2 separate regions of the Mus musculus genome follow, and region 1 is reported to be linked to region 2. The links are microRNA targets in miRTarBase. Many come from high-throughput screens and were not tested one by one. Region 2 holds a microRNA gene; the other region holds the end of a gene's coding sequence.

Evidence for each region. The annotated mature microRNA mmu-miR-679-3p reads AGCAAGGUCCUCCUCACAGUAG and lies in region 2 at 1,407-1,428, shown strand. An mRNA with a match to its seed (bases 2 to 7 or 8) in the 3' UTR can be bound and repressed. Matches are read on the target gene's strand: a 7mer-m8 pairs with bases 2 to 8, a 7mer-A1 pairs with bases 2 to 7 and ends in A, and an 8mer does both.
Region 1: miRTarBase lists Cpeb1 as a target of mmu-miR-679-3p. Seed matches in the 3' UTR shown: 7mer-A1 at 740-746.

Annotation. Positions count from the first base shown.
Region 1 is chr7:81,345,302-81,348,708 of GRCm38, reverse strand. It overlaps Cpeb1 (cytoplasmic polyadenylation element binding protein 1), which reads left to right. Exons shown (of 12, transcript NM_007755.5): 12 at 270-1,683. The coding sequence ends at 368. Among named protein-coding and RNA genes, the nearest start is that of Rps17, 1.8 kb to the right of the region's middle.
Region 2 is chr12:109,714,218-109,717,624 of GRCm38, forward strand. It overlaps Mir679 (microRNA 679), which reads left to right and starts at 1,360; the gene lies at 1,360-1,433. It overlaps Mir494 (microRNA 494), which reads left to right and starts at 1,101; the gene lies at 1,101-1,185. Mir1193 (microRNA 1193) reads left to right here and starts at 1,454; the gene lies at 1,454-1,574. It overlaps Mir666 (microRNA 666), which reads left to right and starts at 2,868; the gene lies at 2,868-2,966. It also overlaps Mir543.

The sequences.
Region 1 (3,407 bases), not on the chromosome of region 2:
TCTGTAACCAGTTCTTTAGCATTCTCTCATGTTGGCAGTCTTGAGACGGAATGAATGGCTGTGTAGAAGAGAAGGGAAGAAAATTGGGAAGCTACAAGGTCTCACATGTCATACCAGAAGCCTAAACTGTTTGCAGAAGCTCTGTTGGGATGAGAAAGCTAGCAGGAAGTCTCTCTTCTAGCCCCCACAGAAGCCAGGGGTTTAATTTCCTCTTAAAGCGGAACCTTTATATCTAGAGTTAACACAGCTCTTTCTGTCCCCTAACCTAGGTCTGCTTCAAGTACTTTTGCAGAAGCTGCTGGCACTGGCGACACAGCATGGAAGGCCTACGCCACCATAGCCCCCTAATGAGGAACCAGAAGAACTGAGATTCCAGCTAGAGGAGCTGGCCTTGCCCAGTGTCCTGTGGTGCCAAAGGCTGTCAAGTCAGGCAGCAACTCGCTGCACAGGCGCCATGGGAGCTAGCTTTGCGCAGACAAGGGAGAATCGTAGTCACCTTTGTACTTGCTAACTCTGTCTTTGTTTCTGCACTAATTAATGCACAATGAGTTTTGTCAGGTCTTGTTTTCAGTGGGGTGTGCCAGAGCAAGGACCCTCGGCTCACCCTCAAGCAATTGTAGTTTTCCCAGATTCTAGTTCCTCATTTTGCAAATGAAAATAACAACAACAACCACTGTGTCCAGAAGGTCTGACACAGATGCCTACACTTGGGTTTATTTATTAAAGCGCTTTTTACATTCCTTGCAATACTGATGGTGGTGATGCGCAGGTCTCATTGGTTCGTTCATTCTGCAGTTGCCATACAGTGCCTTTCCATTGATTTAACCCCCACCTGAACGGCATCAATTGAGTGTTCAGCTGGTGTTTTTTACTGTAACAAACAAAGGAGACTTTGCTCTTCATTTAAACCAAATCATATTTCATAGTTTACGCTCGAGGGTTTTTACTGGTTCCTTTTTACACTCCTTAAAACAGTTTTTAAGTCGTTTGGAACAATATATTTTTTTTTCTTTCTTGGCAGCTTTTAACATTATAGCAAATTTGTGTCTGGGGGACTGCTGGTCACAGTTGCAAATCAAAGCATTTGTAACCAAGAGAAAAATTATTTTATTTAAAACTGGACCGGAGGAAAAGTCTGAGCAGCTGCTGTATATAGTTTTAAATGGTTTGTGGCACCTTATGTTGCACTTATGTTGGGGGAGGGTTGATAGAAGTTTTTAATCACAGTCACAGGACTTTTTCTTTTGTAACTGAGCTTAAAAATTAAAAAAAAAAAAAAAAGGGCTGCTTTTTGGTGGGGGCAGGTGAAGGCTCACAGGAGCCCTTTCTCTTAGAGGGGCAAATACCCTTCCTTACAACTTTTATTTGACGAATGTATGAATCAACAGTTACAGTTGACAAAGACGCTACTGGAATTGAAAACTTGACTTTTCTTTTTAATTTAACGATTACTTGCCTCTCTTAGGGAAGCTGTGTGCCAAAGAGCCAGTGTCATAACCCCTCCCTCCTGCTGAGCTGATGTTGCATTGTTGCATATCCCAGCTACTCTGTGGGTTTTGTGAAGCTGTGTGTGAAGTCTCTACCTCATTGTTGTATATGCAGGCAAGACTGCACTCTCCTACAGATGTGTGGAGTAAGCTGTGGTGTAATTTTTTTGGCACATAATAAACACGTTGCAGCAGAGTTGTAGTTTTGTCTCTGTATCTGGGTGTGTGTGTGGTGGGGTGTGGTAGCAAGCAGGGAAGATTCCAGAGACCAGTCCTCTTTTCATGGATTTTCACTAATGGGATACCAGCCCAGAGGGATGGGAGGTACATGCGGAGACCTGCTCCTATATGGGACTTGTTACATCCTGGTCAGCCACTCTGGAGTGTCTAGTACCTGGGTGATTACAATCAGAATAGGAGGCCTGCCTGTACATTTTACTTCTTGGCCCCTCAAGGCCTCCTCCACATGGAGCCCTAGGAATGCTAGAGGCACAACTCCCAAGATGTCAGGAGCCATTTGCTGGCTGCTTTCCTGTGAGCCCTGACGTGTTCCTCCTTCCTCTTGGACACACTTGTGCTGATGTAATTCCTTTCTGAGTGGTTACTATTTTGCTTTTTTGATTCAGGGTCTTTCTTTGTGGCCTTGTCCTGGAACTCCTTATGTAAGCCAGCCTGGCCTCAAGCTCAGGAATTCTGCCTACCATTCATCCCACGTGCTGGGATTAAGGTATGCACCAGGACACGCTGCAGTGCTTTGTTTCTTCACAGCCCTTACACTAGCTTTTCTAACAGGCTCCATGGCTTCATGACAGGTCTGATGATTTTTCAAGTGGAGACGGCAGCATGCTGAACTGGTCCTTTGGGAAACTCTAGTCTGAGGGAGAGGGACTCCTAGGTACTTAAATCCTTGTAAGGTGCAAAAACTCACTACTCCTCAGAATCCAAGAGTTCTCTTCCTGCAAGACTGTAAGGTCTAGTCTTGCATCTGGAGCCTGGCCTCCACTTCATTGGGAATTCACTGGTAATGTACGATGCAACCCCCAGGGATTACAGACCCTTTGGTCTCTTCAGTATTCTTCCGGGTCCATGGTCAAGGACATCTTTTTTCCTCCCGCCATGAGCTACTTTTAGAGTAAGGACTTTCAGCTCTTCACCTAACCAGAGTGACGTAGATGAGTTGAAGGATGAAGCACAGCCTTGGCCCCTTGATACATGCCCTGTGGCCAGCACGGTCTCCTTAGGTTTGAGCGCAGGACCCTGTCCCAGGAAAGAGCTGGAGGAAAGGCCCTCTCTGGACAGATGAAGCCACTGGGTCGTAGCGTAAGAGCCTGCTTTGGGCTTGGTTATGGCAGAACAACCGGAAGAAGCTGAAGGTTGGAGATAGTGTCCCTACTAATCGGGAACAGTCTAGTTAACTGAGATCCTAATTTGTTGGTAAAAGTGTTTGAGACCTCTCTGTGAGCCAGCCACTGATTTAAGCACTCGAGGTTAGCCCTTCCTGTTTAGCTCAAACCTAGCTGAGAAAAGTAATTGTGCTCAGACATTTAAGAGCAGCTCGAATGGAATACTGTGCTGGGATGAGAAGAAAAGCCACTCTAGGTGATGTTTGCTGTGACACCAGGAAATGAGAGGAACCTCACCAATTAGGCTAGACCCTACTAATCTCTGACTAGAGGCGCGGGTAGGGTGGAAATCGGGGATGACCCTGTTTACTACTATGCCTTTCATAGCTCGGGCCTCCTTTAGGCTCCATCTCAGGACCTCAAAGTAACTCCTAGATTAAAACACACCGGACGCCCAAGAGAAGCACGGAACTATTTGGAGTGGAAACCAAGACGGCCGAGCTGCCGGCGTGCGCACGCGCAGACTTTCGCCCCGCCCACAGCCAGGCAGCCTCACTCCACTCCGCTAGGGGCCGCT
Region 2 (3,407 bases):
TCAGATGGTACCTAGATCCATGCTATTCACACACACCCACATCCTTGTAATAAGAGACTTGGAATCAGCAGTGTTCTAGCAGTAGGAAAGCAAACCTGAAATTGGCACACACATTTGCCCAGTGAGCTTTAAGATATGAAATCTGGAGCGGGGCAGTGGTGGCGCACGCCTTTAATCCCAGCACTTGGGAGGCAGAGGCAGGTGGATTTCTGAGTTCGAGGCCAGCTTGGTCTACAGAATGAGTTCCAGGACAGCCAGGGCTATACAGAGAAACCCTGTCTCGAAAAAAACCAAACCAACCAACCAACCAAACAAACAAACAAATAAACAAAAGATGTGAAATCTGTTCTTAGTCCTTAACTCCACCCAGGGTTGTGGTCAGCAGTAGAGCTTTCTGTGGGGTTCCAGGTAGAACACAATTCTCATCTGCAAATCATGAGCCCTTTTCATAGGCATTTCATATCAGATATCTACATTATGATTTATAACAGTAGCAAAATCACAGTTATGAAGTAACATTGAAAATAATTTTACAGTTGGGGATTACCCAACATGAGGAAGTATATTAAAGGGTCACAGCACTAGGAAGGTTGAGAACCACTCGACCAGGGGGTGGAACTGCCTGCCCCTGCCTGCTGCTTCTTTATACTACCACATGTGCTGGCACACATTTACCTTCCTACTAACTTTATAATGTGTCTGCTTTTAGAATCTTACCTTCCCTGGAAACTACCCAGACTCACAACCAGAGGGCTGGGTCGCTTCTCATCACCCACCTACCTCTTGGAACCAGAATCCGAGGCTCATTCCTGAACACCCCCAATGTACTGTACTTGTTGAAGTTGAGAGCTACTATTCCCCTGTTATCTCCTGAGGCACAATTTCTGGGGTCCCTGGTTCCCTTCAGTGACCCCCCCTAAACCTGGAGAGATAAGGAATGCAGGTGGTCTGTGTTGTTGGTAAATAGTCTCAGGCAATTCTGTGGACTGTCAAATTGCACAGGGGTTTTGGTTGCTCTCCAGGGCCCACAGAAGCAGACACTTCTGACAAGGCACCTGGCACTTTCCAGCTGCCTTTGTTTGCTTTCTGACCAGTGCTAATTGATACTTGAAGGAGAGGTTGTCCGTGTTGTCTTCTCTTTATTTATGATGAAACATACACGGGAAACCTCTTTTTTAGTATCAAATCCCACCCTGGGGGCACTCCCTGTCCCTGATGACGCCTTCAGGGAAGGGACCTGGACTGCTGTTCCCTGGACTCTGGGACATGGGACATGGGAGTATGGCATCAGGACTCAGCCCTGGAAGGAAAGTCATTTGAAGAAGGGACAGGGTCCCCGTGGTGGCCTGAGGCTACTCCCTATGGCTTTGGACTGTGAGGTGACTCTTGGTGTGTGATGGCTTTTCAGCAAGGTCCTCCTCACAGTAGCTATAAGGACGTGCCAGCATCGTGACTGAAGGGACAATGATGCCCACTGTTCTCGGGGTAGCTGTGTGGATGGTAGACCGGTGACGTACACTTCATTTATGCTGTAGGTCACCCGTTTTACTATCCACCAACACCCAGACCATCTGTGGGAAGACACCTTGGTGCACACGGCAGCTATGAAGAAGATGTTGGTGGGGTTGAGGCCAGCGTGAAACTAAAATATTTCAAGCAGAGTTAGCTTTTAAGGGGGATCCTTTTTCTGCTTGTGTGTGTACATATATGTGTTCAAGAGAGAGAGTGTGTGTGTGTGTGTGTGTGTGTGTGTTGGGGGGGGGCTACCATGGGCGTGACTTTCATTTTATGATCCTGTATCTTTGCAGTAAACAACGCCATCCTGGAGGATCCCCTGAATGTGAAGCTATATCCCAAGCTGGGGCACATTTCTCCTGGTGGGTGAGTGACAGGTCTCTCTAGCCCAGCATCAAGCCCACATCTGTCACTTATGGCATAGGCTTCGTTGTTCTTGCTCATCTCCATGTCTGTTCAATTTTGCTTGTCTTCTGAGGATTCAAATCATTGGCTGCTTCCCAGCACAAGTACCTGACTAGGAGATGTATTTCAGATATGACATCTCCTTAGGGAAGGACACCAGAGTCCTCATCAATGGAAAAGGTATGTCATGGTGTTCTGTCTGAAAGAATATATTATATTTTCATGTGTGTCCTTCTTTACTAATGCTGAGTATGCCTTCCATACCTAGGACGACCTCCTGATGTATTGCTACCCTGGGGGTGAAGGTGGCTTCCTTGCCCCTCCTCCAGGCTCCTGGCAAGTGGTTCTTGCAGCCATGGCAGAGACATAGAAAGTAAGTAGGAACTCTCCGACTGAGATTAGGAACTACTGTGATTCTGCTCATGTTTCATTGGTCAAGCCAATGAAGGGTGGGGAGGTGCCCTGTAGCCATGTCATGAGGGAGAGAACATGTGTACAAGCATAGGCAACCAACTATCTACCTGGAACACCTAAGAAGTCTATCTTTATTCATGTTCTTTTTTTTTTTTAATCTCAATGTTCCATTTCCCAGCAAGTGGAGGGTCAACAGAATCTGTTCTCAGAACACCACATGCCACTTACATATATTTTTGTCCAGGAGACATTGTCTCGTTCTGACAAAGGCTCAGATATCTTTTTGTTTCCCATTTCATGATAACCTCCTTGCATCAGGGCCTCCACCGTGGAACATAGGTTGATGTCCTCCCCTCTAGCAGATGGGTGGTGACCTCGACTGAGAGGTCACGGGACCCACCTCCTCTCTTGTCACGGATCCAGAGCTGGACTTTGGGAAGCAAAGTCAGGATTATTATATCATTCTCTGATGTTTGAGGAGACTCCAAAGACCTCCCCAAAGGATGACCAATCCAAAGCCTGTCTACAAGATCCTGATTCTGCCTGCGTGGAGCGGGCACAGCTGTGAGAGCCCCCTAGGTACAGCGGGGCTGCAGCGTGATCGCCTGCTCACGCACAGGAAGTGACGACAGCGGTACTCAAGCCACAGGAAGTGACGACAGCGGTACACAAGTGGTACACAGGGTTCCATGCTGCTGACGTACGGTGCTTAATGAGAAGTTGCCCGCGTGTTTTTCGCTTTATATGTGACGAAACATTCGCGGTGCACTTCTTTTTCAGCATCCTATTCTACGTTGAAGACTTCGGGGGTTCAACTACTTACTGACTTCAGGGAAGCCATGTTAGTCTAGGAAAGTAGTCTATGTAGTGAGCCTGGGTTGTGTGAGTTTATCTCCCTTCTTGAATGGTCCTCTGACCTTTCTTAATGAGAATGGGTTTGGGTTGGTTGGCTCCTGCTCCCTCCTCCCTCCTCCACAACACAGTGTCAAAGGAACCAGTTGACCAGACATTATTGATTCCTAGATGAGACCTTAGCCCACAGGGAGATGTTTGCTGAGACTTCTGGGAGGGGA